2 linked regions of the Xenopus tropicalis genome follow. The protein of the gene in region 2 purifies or fractionates together with the protein of the main gene of each other region. This does not show direct contact. Links are inferred from orthologs where the notes say so. Each region holds a gene or a part of one and is shown on either strand. Other genes may lie near its edges.

Region 1 (6,437 bases), on a different chromosome or scaffold from region 2:
TTAACTTCTGTAGGCTTGTATTTTGCCCGTTCCTACTCTCCATCGTTGCCCTCTTCTTCATTAAAGGAACAGTAACAGCAAAAAATTAAAGAGTTTTAAAGTAAATGAAATATAATGTACTGTTGCCCTGCACTGGTAAAAGTTGTGTGTTTGCTACAGTAACTCTACTATAGGCTATATATAATAAGCTGGTGTAGGCCCGGGGGCAGCCATTCAAGCTGGAAAAAAGGAGAAAGGGCACAGGTTACATAGCAGATAACGGATAAGCTCTGTAGAATACAATAGTGTTTTATCTGTTATCTGCCTGTGCCTTTTCTCTTTTGAACAGCTTCCCCCATGGCTACACAGCTGCATTCTTTATATAAACCATAGTAGTGTTTCAGAGGCAAACACACCAGTTGTACCATCGCAGGGCAGCAGTACATTATATTGGAATTTCTTTTATACACTTGAATTTTTTGGTGTTACTGTTCCTTTAATGTTTATAGCTTGAGAACTCCCTTATCCTCTTTGAGTTATTGCAATTTTTTTTCTATGTTAGATCATTTGGTTTTTGGAAATGATTAAACCCCAACTCTTATATATAAGTATATGTATATTTGCATCCATTCAGGGAACAAGAAGACTACCAAGCTGACCCTGACAGTTACAATGGAGCCATAAGAAAGAATTATGTTTGGTCTCAGGATTACACAGATGTGGAAATTAAAGTTCCAGTGCCTAAATCTGTAATAAAAGGTCGGCAGGTAAGCAACACCATATTTATTGAGTAACTTGTGATATACAGGCGGGCAGATGTAGTTTTATTACAGAAAACTGAGAAGAGACAAGTCCCAAAGACTTGTGTCCTAAAGGGGGCAGTGTAAGGCAATGTATGGTTATGATGCTAACTGGCAAGGTGTTTGCCTTATAGAGCCATTTTCCCAGCAGAGGGTGACAGAGATCAATACATTGAAGGATCTAGAAACTGCTTTGGGGAGGGAAGTAAATAGAGTGGTATGCCGCAGTGTGTAACTGTGTAATTCTGCATGTCTGGCATATAGTTTATCACAGTAAATATTAAAAACATATACCAGGTATGAAATCCATTATACAGAAAAATCTGAAAAACGATTACCAAAACCTTCCCAAACATCCTGCTGGATAATAGATTCCATACCTGTACAGTCTTTTATCAGACAGTAATGTGTTATATGATTATATCATTTTCCCATGTGAAAGACTGGAATCTGTCATTTGTAAACAATAAGACTAAACTGTGCAGCTGTAATGCCAATTTATTTCCCAGTATGGGTGGTAGTACAAGTGAGAGAAAGTATACAGATGCTGCTACAGCGTTAGGGTGAAGACACACCGAGCTACTAGTAGCAGCTACTTGTCACGGCTGCTAAAATAGACAGTGCTGATCATTTACTGGTAATTGTCTCTATGTGTGTTTTAGCAGAGGCACTTCTCAGTATTGTCTATGGCATGGTATTTTCTGGAGTTAAGTAGCCATGAAAAAGTAGCTGCTACTAGTAGGTCTGTGTGTTTTTATCCTTGTGTATTTCATGCTACTATTCTGGGCAGCCCCAGGTGGTGTGATAGAGAACTTCGCTGGGCAGGATCATATTGGGCCAGCAGGATACTGGGACAGAACCTTATGGGCCCCTTCGAGAGACCTCTGCTGCTGGGGTGTGGGGCTCTTAATGTAGCGGTGGCCCCCTGGTGGAACCCAGACACGCCACTCATGCCTGCCTCTGTCCTTAGGATCATATGTGACCTGTTCCCGATGCTAAAGCTAGGGACGACCTCCTGCCATCAAATGGATTAGTGGCAAAAAACAGGGCAAGCTCAATGCAAAGGCAATACTTCAGCAACTAATAAAAAAAAACTGTCTTAGGATATCACTGACTTCATTAAAGTCAAAATTATTTTTAAGATGAACTTTCCATTTAAATGGGAGAATATTTAAGAGGTTACAAAGGATATCGATACCCATGAAAACTATTTTAAAAATACATATTGATATTTTAAGAAAACTTTTAATAAAAAGAAAGGCATTTTAGTAAATAGAAAAATAGGAACTATCTCACGTATGAAGATACACCTATCTGCAATGTAGATGTGTTCACATCCGTCACAGTGTACTTACGTGTAACATAAATACCAACATACATAAATAACCTCACAATTTGTCATGAATGTCATGACAATAGTTGTGGTAGGGACAGAGAACCCTGGGGAGATATGTTTGTATGCATATTTATATTTATTTATATAGTGCTGCTTGTATAGCAGGGAAAATAAGTATTGAACATGTTTTTCTTAGTAAATATATTTCTAATGGGGCTATTGACATGAAATTTACACCAGATGTCTGTAACAACCAAAGTAATCCACATGTACAAAGAAATCAAAACAAATAAGTCCATACATTATGTGTAGTAAAGTGAAATGACACAGGGAATAAGTATTAAACACGCTGAACACTGAAATGTATTTAATACTTAGTAGAAAAGCCTTTGTTGGGAATGACGGATTAAGGCGCCTCCTGTAGGAGAAACTAGTGGCGTGTATTGTTCAGGTGGGACTTTGGCCCATTCTGCCACACAAACTGTGTTCAAATCTTGAAGGTTCCAGGGGCCTCTTCTATGAACTCTGATCTTCAGTTCCTTCCATAGATTTTCAGTTGGATTCAAGTTGGTTGATTGACTGGGTAATTCTAGCAGCTTTATTTTCTTTCTCTGAAACCAACTGAGAGTTTCCTTGGCTGTGTGTTTGGGATCATTGTCTTGCTGAAATGTCCAGCCTCGTTTCATCTTCATCATCCTGGTGGATGGCAGCAGATTCTATAATTATAGAATTATATGAAGTCTGCCAGTACCATATGCTAAAAAACATCCTTACACCATGATGCTCCCATTACAAATTTGTAATGAATGTATATTGGAACATTGCTTAGAATTATTATTATTATTATTGTTATTATTGTTATTATTAGGCAAACATTATTTTTGGGGGTTTTTTTCTGTGTTTGCATAATGAAAAAATTATAATGCCAAGCAACATCCAAACATAAATTTGTATTTTTAAAGTTACTTGTAACTATAATTGATATTAAGAACAGTGGGTTTTATCCCTTTCTATGGAGGTTCTGTTATCTTTGCATATTAATTTAAATGAATTGTAACACCAAAAATTGTGTTTAAAATGTAATGTACTTTTGCCCTGCACTGGTAAACCTAGTGTGTTGGCTTGAGAAACAATACTATAGTATATATAAATAAGCTGATGTGTAGCCATAGGGCCAGCCAAGCTGGAAAAAGGAGAAAAGGCACAGGTTACATAGCAGATAACAGATAAGCTCTGTAAAATATAATGGTGTTTTACAGAGCTTATCTGTTATCTGCTAAATGACCTGTGCCATTTAGCCCTATTTCAGTTTGAATGGCTATTCCTGTGGCTACACAGCAGCTATATTTACATAAACTATAGTAGGGTAGGGGCAAACACAGGGCAACAGTACATTATATTTGAATTACTTTGATACACTTTAATTTTTTTGCATTACTGTTTCTTTAAAACCACAGAACACTATTAATGGCTGTATATTGAAAAGAGAATATACAGCCGTGTTCATTTTCAATTTAATTATGGCCAGTTAACAGAGTTAAAACAAGTGACTGTGAGTGGGCAATACATTTGCTTTAGCATGGAACTTTGACCAAATAAAACCTGGGTTCACATTATTATCTCATATTACAGCCCCCAACAATGAGCTTATAAACTGTACATAGATAATAATAGGATGTCCTATCCAACCACAGATATCATGGGGATTAAGAAGGAGCTCTGCTTATGGAATCAGGTTGGGAACAAGCTGCATATTATTGTTTACTAACTCATTGCACAGTATCACTGTGCTTAGCTGCTGACTTGCATTGCACAAAATTACCTTTTCCAAAATGGCCCCCATTCGGTATCTTCTGTGATACCTGTGCTACTGTTGCTGTATTGAGTAAAGGACAGAGCACCTTTGATTCTAATGGGCGTATGACTCCCTTGTCTGCACCCTCTTCCTCAGGTGTCAGTGGACCTGCGCAGTAGCTGTATTCGTGTGGCGGTGAGAGAAGGAGGAGGGGAACGTGTTCTGGTGGAGGGAAGCTTTACTCACAAAATAAATGCAGAGACCTCTCTCTGGAGTCTGGAACCTGGAAAGTGTATTGTGGTAAGACTCTTTAATAAGATACTGAATCTGACTTGTGTGCAGCTTGTTAAGGCATATATAATCACTATGAATAATCAGGATCTTTTATTTCCTTTGAGACTGGTGTCAATCATGAGCTGAATTATTCACGTTCCCATGTGTTCTTCCATGCCACTCACTTGCCATTTTTTTAGGTCAGTTGTAGAGGTGGGTGCCTTGCTAGGTGACAGTAATTAATTTTGTTATACAGAATAAGCCCTCTGTTACTGCCATCAGCATGGTCCCACCATGCACCCTGCATATAGATCACATGGGCCATGTCTGAGAGACCCACAACCTGTGGTTTAATCTTCAGTTATTATCAGCTTATTGAGACTTAGCAGGACCATACTCCCAATAGAACTCCTAAATAATTTCTACACTTAGATCAATAGTCAGCTTGGCCATACTCCTTCCATTCATCTCACCACTTAATAAGAACAAGTTGCTGGCCAGCTCCTTGGTTACTACCCACTCCTCTAAACTTTGTGGTTATAGGTGGGTGTATAGCAGTTTTTAAAGAAAAATGAACTTATACATTATAAATACACTAAAGCGTTTGTTTTCTCTCTTATTGCATATTTAAAGTTTCCTATTCTTGGTACATCTGGCATTTGGGTGCTTTATGGTTCTGCCATTAAATTTTACTCTCCCTGCTAGTTTTCTTTTGGAAACATATTTGATCTCATGGATTTTGTTATTAATAATGATACAAGTTTGCATCTGTATTCCTTCCATACTGTATTAATAACTACTTCTCTGGTTTATGTAGTATTCAATTTGTATATATTCAACTTGTATCCTATTTCTGATTCACGGGTGTTTATTCAAGTTTATTTGCATTGACTCAAAGTTCCCCTAAACGCCTTATCCCTGTCTTGCTTTATGGCTAAGATATTAGATATTTTTAATTCTATGAGTGTCCATTGAGCTCCTAAGCTCTCTGAATAAACATTGTATAGCATTTCCGTGCTCCCCATATTTCATTTTCAGAAACTTCTCTTGCATCTTTCATCCTTCCAATGTAGTTTGTGTGTAGTCATATGGTAGATTCCACCAAATTTTCATTCACTCCCTTATCATGACACATCTTGATTTGCTGCAGTCCCCTGCTGTCTGGTTTTTCACTCTGCAGGCTGTCTGCTTTACTGTCTACAATAAATCCTGCTGCAAAGCTTATTCATCTTGCTAGTTGTTCCTCCTCCCCTGACAGTGCCTCAAGAGTCCTTCTAGAATTATATCTAAATAAACCCAATGCCTACCCAAATTCTTTACATTCCAGTAAATCACCACTTCATGAGTTTATGTTCATCCCATGATCTGCTTCTTTTACAACCTTTCTCCATTATGCCTTCAAGACTTCTTCAGGGGCTCTACGTCTCTCTTTTTCCCTTTGTGCATTGTAATACTTGCCTCCACATTTCACCCATTGCTTTCCTAAATGGGACTATAAAACGCAGGATGTTGGTATGCAGCTAACAGTTCTGCTTCAGGGTCCAAAATTGTCTCATCAGTCCTGCATTCTTCCCCTTTTTGTTCATTAATAATCCATATGCAAGTTTGCAACAAACCTATTATCATTATTCTTAATAAAGCGCCAACAAATTGAGCAGGGCTGTTACATCCTTCACATGAGTCCCTGCCCCAGTGGAACTTACAGTATTAGATCCCTATCATATTCACACACTATGGGCAGTTTTACCAGGAGCCATTAACCTGCCTGTTTGGAGTGTGGAGAAAACTACCCAGGGGAAACCCATACATACACGGGAAAATATACAAACACATAGGTGATGTTGCTCATGAACCTTAATTCTCTAGGCTGCCAATTAACAAAAGTGCTGCAACCCCTCCATGTATCATTCAGAACGTGATGAAACTTTGTTAGTACATTGTATTTAAAGTGTAGTGGGAACTCTCCACAGATCAGCTTGAGTAAGTGTGGCGAGGTTTGGTGGAATGCCGTATTGGAAGATGAAGAAAAGATTGACATAGACAAGATCAACAAAGAACGCAGCATGGCTACTGTGGATGATGAGGAACATGCTGTTTTGGACCGACTAACATTTGATTATCACCAGAAGTTGCAGGGGAAGCCTCAAAGCCATGAGTTGGTAAGCCCTAAAAACAAAAGTATCATGATCCACACATTTCCCTCCTTCTGTTCATACACTGATTCACATGTTACTGTACATTTCTAAAGTTCACT
Region 2 (6,437 bases):
TTAGCTTAAGGCCACTGCTCGTTCTTGATGAAAATTTCCAACTGCTTTTTGCCAATTAAACTGTAGTGACAAAGCCTGTAGTATAGACCATGCTACATACATAAAACTGAGCCTGGATTATACCGGCGACTGTGGAGTTGCAGGTAAGATGAAGCCCAGACAGAGGCAATTATTTGAACCTGAAAAACATCTTCATCTTCAGCTGTCATTTTTCTCCTATTGTTTTTTAAATTTTGAAGGAAGAAAACAGTATATGGCCACTTTCTGTGTATTCTGAGTCTGTTTTTTGAACAAGTCTACAATTATTTAGCTGAAGTTCTGGTTAGCTGACCCCTTGTCCCATGAGCAAAGCACAGTTCAGCATCTACATATGTATTTTGTCTCAGCTAAGGCCTTGTTTAAACACACCATAAGGCTGCAAAAACATGCTGCAGTTTATTATTTATTACTAAAGCACTCTGAGGATTCAGAGCATAGGTAAAAACTATCTTGGCATAAAAAATTTGTTGTAGCACATGCAGAGAATATATGCCTTAAAGCAGACCTCCATGCTTGGACAATTATCTCCTGTGTGCCATAACCATCAAGCATTTTGTCCTACTGACTTTTCCCTGGGAATGTCTAATAGACAGGAAAAAAAAGACAAATCCCATGACCCATAGTATGACAGAAATAGGTTGTGGACAGTACAACAGAGTTCAGAGTTTGGGGGGGGGGAGTCACTGGAGCATTTTCATCTCCCACTGAAGATAATGGATTTTGCCTAGCCTAGGTTGGCATCATTTCTTGGCTTTTTGTGTCCTAAAATAAATTCTGCACTTTTATGCTAAGGCAAATGGGCCCTTCGTCATTGAGTATGGCTACATATCAATATAAAATCACAACGCAGAAACTTTTCTATTGTCAAAATATAACTTTTATAAATAAAAGAATACAAAAATTGTTTGTAAATATTTACCATATTTATGCCAATATATATATATTTATTACAGTGTCTATATGGACTTTTCATTGCTAGTACAGGTATGGGACCCGTTATCTTTCTGTAATTCGGATCTCCTGCCTTAAGTCTACTAAAAAAATTATTTAAACAGCAGTTAAAAATCCAATAGGAGTGTTTTGGTTCCAATAAGGATTAATTATATCTTAGTTGGGATCAAGTACACTGTTCTGTTCTATTATTACAGAGAAAAAGATAATCATTTTTAAAAAATGTGAATTATTTCATTAAAATTGAGTCTATGGGACATGGCCTTTCTGTAATTGTGAACTTTTTTGGATAATGGGTTTCCGGATAAGGGGTCCGATACCTGAACAAGAAATATGGTAGTTCCTTGTAATAAAATGTAATAATATAAATATGCAACCTTTTCTGAGCATACAGTAAGGGGGTGATTTATCAATGTTCAAATTCAAATTAGAATCTTTTTGCGCAAAAGCTCCCAAAGTCTAACAAAGGTAATAGTTATTATGCGCAAAAAATTAGAAACACTTGAATGTAAAACCTTGGCATCTAACACTTGCAAGTTCCTGTAGAAGTCAATTGGGGTTATTTTAGGCAAACATTATGTGGTCTTTCAATTCATGGGTTTTTTTTTTTTGAGAGTTTGTAGACCCATTGAAAATGATAGGTAGAATATAAATATGATACATTTGAGGTTTTTTTTCATGGTTTAAATGAAAATGGATAGTTGAAAATTGATAAATAAGCTTTATGTTTTTCCCTGTGCTTTACTGTCTGTGTCTCAAAGGAGAACTAAACCCTAAAAATGAATATGGCTAAAAATGCCATATTTTATATTTTAAACTGAATGCACTAGTCAAAAGTTTCAGCATCTCCATAGTAGTAATGATATAGGTCTTTACAGTTGTCACATCAGCTTCCCATTTTGGATTCTGTTAGAACTCTCTGGGACACTGCACATGCTCAGTGGGCTCTGGGCAGCTGCTGAGAAGCTGAGCTTAGGGGTCGTCATAAACAATTAGGTTGGCCTGTCATATAAACTGATGGTATAGGGCTGATTATTAAATTCTGATTCTAACAGCTGATTCTAACTGGTTTCAAAGCTGCCATGTAATGTGAATTTAAATTAATTAGTAATCAGCCTTTTATTGGGACATTTCTATTCTATATATGCAGTATATTGAGAGTGGGTCCCTAAGCTCAGGTAAGTGACAGCAGCACAGAGCATGTGCAGGGAATCAGCAGAAAAGAAGATGGGGGGCTACTGGGGCATCTTTGGGGGCACAGATCTTCCCTGCTAAAGGGCTGTGGTTGCCTCAGGCTGGTACAGAAACCAAAACATAATGTACAACATTTCTAGCCTACTTCTTTAGTTAGGCTTTAGTTCTCTTTTAACTCATTTACTTTGTAAACACGTATAAACCTTTGCACGCAAAGGATACATTGTGATGTGTATGCCTTTTGCCCTAAAGAACTCTGTAAAGCTTATAAGGATTTATCTTCTAGTTCATGTATGCAAACCATAGGCACACATCCTTTCTAATGCAGCTGCTTTGTGACCTGTGGAGATAGGCAGGTGAAGCGGGGCGGAACTGGGGCGGAACCAAACAATACCAGAGGACTGATAGCCACTATATGAGTGATAGGAGATTCAACTGCCCTGCTTCCCCTGCCTTGTTTTGCTTAGATAAGCCCCAGGAGGGTCAGTGACTGCTAGCACTACTGAGCTGGAGAACTGCCGGCCAACAGAAGCCATTTATATACCTTCTTTTTATAACTCTTTTTATTTATAAATACAATATGTTAAATGAAATCTGTACAAGTAGATATATTGCTCCTTGTTTATGTATTAAGCGTGGTTCACAAAGATTTATTAACTACACAAACTAATGGTGACAATTGCAGTATTTCTGTAGGGTTTCTCTTCTGTCACTATAGTGTGACGCTTATCTTATTGTATGCACAGAACAAAGAAGATATACACTGCTTATAAAAAAAGGATATATATTGAGAGAGTAATAGTCTAAGAATATTGGTTTTCATTTTTTATTATTTGTGTTTTTTTTAATTAATTTTACTTTTTGTTAAGCAACTCTCCAGTTTGGAATTTTAGCAGTTATCTGGTTGCTAGGGTTCAACTGACCCAAATAGAAAATCAATAATAAAAAGTAACAATTACAATGAAATTATAGCATCACAGAGCAATTGTTTTTGGCTGCAGGGATCAGTGACTAGTGATGAGCGAATCTGTCCCGTTTCGTTTCCCCGCAAAAGATTTGCAAAATGGCGAAAAATTCACACAAAAATTGTTGCATGCATCAAAAGAATTGGCGCACAGCAAATTTTCCAACCCGTTTTGCGAAACAATCCACCAATGGCGAAACGCAGAGATTTGCTGCAAATCCATACTTGCCAAATAATTTCGTTCATCACTATCAGTGACCCCTGTTTGAAGGTTGAAAAGAGTAAGAAAAAGAATTAAAAAAAAACTATAAAAAATAGATAATAAAGACCAATTAAAACGTTTCGTAGAATTGTCCATTCTGTAAAACGCTAAAGGGCATTCTGTAAAAGTCATTTCCGCAGATGTCAGTCACTTATCAAAAGATCTGAATTGAAAAACACAAAAGAAGAAAGACGTGGAAAAATGCTAAACTTTTTCAGTCAAAAAAAACCAAAAACCTCTAAAACCAAAGATCTTCCAGTTGTACAAGCGACATCTGCCATTAACTTCTACATGAGTAATAGGATAAAAATCTATTTCTCTTCCATATTTCTCTGTAATAATAAAACTGGATCTTGTACTTGATCCTAACTATGCTACATGAATCCATGTTGGAGGCAAAACATCCCTATACCCTATACCTTAAATACTGGAACTACAATTTCAAGTTGCTTTTTAACTAAGCCATTTTAAAGTTGTTATTGTACAATGAATTCACTTGACATTGTTATTTTGCATGTCTCCCAGGGCCATGTTCTGTAATGACCTGAAAGAAAAATATGAAGAGAAAATTATAATCCAAGGAGTTGAGCCAGAGACCATGCAGATTATCTTGGATTATACTTACACAAGCAAAGTGGTGATTACAAAACTCAATGTGCAAAAAATCTTGGAAGCTGCCAGCCTTTTCCAGGTTTGTGAAATAATCCAGTTTGTTTGGGCACTTATTGCTTACTGGCTGATTAACAACATTCATCTATGCATTTGTCTTCCATGAGGAAATGTCCGCCACCTTGGCAGTGACAGGAAGGTGGAAATATACGGTGAAGCTGTAGTGTATATTATAGGCAGGTAAGACAGGGGCTTACAGACTGCATATTGTATATACACTACTTCCTCGGAGGCTATTGATTTATGCAAAGCCCACAATCAGTGGAGGCCACAGTAACCGCCCCTACTTGGACCCCTAAATATAACTCTGACTGATACTTTCCCTGCAAGTGACATACGTGCGAGCCATAAGGGAAACATTCAGGGCATTCCGTGAGTGTTGCACATGGTGCATTCATTCTGGGTGAAAGTCAGTGTCATTCCAAGACCAGTCAGTAGAAACCCAACTATGGGGCCTATTTATTATGCTGAAAAAAAAACAGTGTAAAAAGCTATGTAAAATAAATGGAGAATTTTGCCAACTGAATGCCAGATTTTACGCCATTATTTTATGTAAGTTCCGGCAGAAGAAAACATGCATAAAGATGACACCGATTTTACAGTAGGGGCCGAAACAAACCTCAGGGACCTTCAGCAGCAAGTGATCACTAGACATTCAGAAAAGGTTTTCAGTAAACCGTAAAATAATATACAAAGTACAGGTATAGAATTCATTATCCAGAAACCCAATATCCAGAAAGCTGTGAAAATACAGGAATGCCATGTAATAATCCCTCCTACTACCCTGTAACACTCATTTCCCTTTGGTGTGAGCAATGGCTGCCCAATTTACCACTGTTGCTGAGCAGTGTTAATGAAATTTACAGCCTATCAACAGCTGGAGGGTCATAGGTTGAATATCACTATAAAAAAGAGAAAAAAAACACATTCATTCTTCTAAAGAAAAGTCCTTTATTCCATTAACTGTAAAAACATGTGAGGCTACTGTGAAACAAACATTCTGACGGGTTTTGGAAATAGCCCTTAATCATAGGATGAATATCCACCATTAAAGAAGAAGACACTTTAAATTACTGGGGGGTTCTAAATGTAAGCACCCCCAGTGATTCAGATTGATTACCTGATACCTGGTTGGTTACCAATTAGCAGAAAATTACACCAGCCCCGGGGGGTGGCGGATATGTAATCCGGGTGCCCCGAGGCCGCCCCCGTCCGTTGCCCCCACCCCCCCCACACATTCACTGCAATCTGGGGCCAATGCATTGGCAGTAGAAACAAAAAGCCAACTTTTTTGTTAAAGTACAGCTTTTCACTCTACTACGGATACGCAGCTGGTGAACAAAGAAGATGGAAGAGGGTTTGCCCGCTCATTGGAATAGTACTGCAAATGGCAGTTTGTGCAATTGCCCCAGACACAGAGCAGTTAGAACTGTGTCATTCTATGGAAGTGATTACAAATGGCATGCAAAGATGAACTGTCATTGCAAAACATTTAGTTTCTGTATTACCCAATGTATGTAGTCTTTTATCTATCTTGTGGGAACAGGGCCTGTCTATTTTGATGAGGAAACAAAGTCGGTTTTGAAAAAAAAGGGCATCACACTACTCCGCCTTTGTAAAAGGGGTTATCTAACACATAGTACTCAGGAAAAGCAGAAGAAAATAACTGATTGTGGTTTCACTTGTTTACTAAACCACAGTCCAAAGGTCAAATGATCGGATAAACCCAGTTGGCTCATCACCTGGGTGCAGTTGTTTAGCACCCTTGCCCAATGAGTGCATGAGCAGTTCCCCCAGCATAGATACATGCCACAGCAGAGCTGAATAAAAGAAAACATAATTCTGAGAAACCCTCCAATATGAATGTGTTAACTTTTGTAATTGTAATAAATGTAATTGTTGTTGAAAGCATCATTTGCTTAAAGGGGAACTCCACCCAAACACAACTTAAACTTTGTCAAAAGTAAACATGATTTCAAGCAACTTTGTTATATACATCAATCAAAAATATGCATGATTTTTAATATAATAAAATGGTTTGGATCAGTTACCTAAGCCCCGCCCCCTGTTCCCCTGCTGATCTGGCTGACTGCTTTGAGACTCATATAAAATGTAACAGTAGTCGACTGTCTCCTCAGCCTGCATCCTCCAAATCCCACAATTCTCTGTACACGTGATGTCATTATGTATTTCCTGCATGCTGTCTACGCTATGGAGAAATTATTACAGTTTGTAACATCAATGTTTAAGTCCCTCCTCCCCTGCCAGGATTTTAAATTATGCAGAAAGAGAACTGTTTTGCAGCAGGATTTCAGCATATAAAAATGTTATTTATTTATACTTTTTGAAGGACTACAG

Evidence for each region. Proteins that work in one complex are often made in the same cells at the same time.
Region 1: the proteins of klhl6 (region 2) and nudcd3 purify together in Homo sapiens (affinity purification with mass spectrometry; 3 studies listed by BioGRID and IntAct, counting the BioPlex papers as one, with this or other methods). This does not show direct contact. The link is inferred for Xenopus tropicalis from reciprocal best matches to the Homo sapiens genes KLHL6 and NUDCD3.

What each region holds. Positions count from the first base shown.
Region 1 is NC_030679.2:126,201,037-126,207,473, reverse strand, and holds part of nudcd3 (nudC domain-containing protein 3), read left to right. Parts: intron 1-613; coding exon 614-746; intron 747-4,066; coding exon 4,067-4,210; intron 4,211-6,153; coding exon 6,154-6,342; intron 6,343-6,437.
Region 2 is NC_030681.2:127,024,514-127,030,950, reverse strand, and holds part of klhl6 (kelch-like protein 6), read left to right. Parts: intron 1-3,935; coding exon 3,936-4,101; intron 4,102-6,437. UniProt on the Homo sapiens protein: Involved in B-lymphocyte antigen receptor signaling and germinal center formation.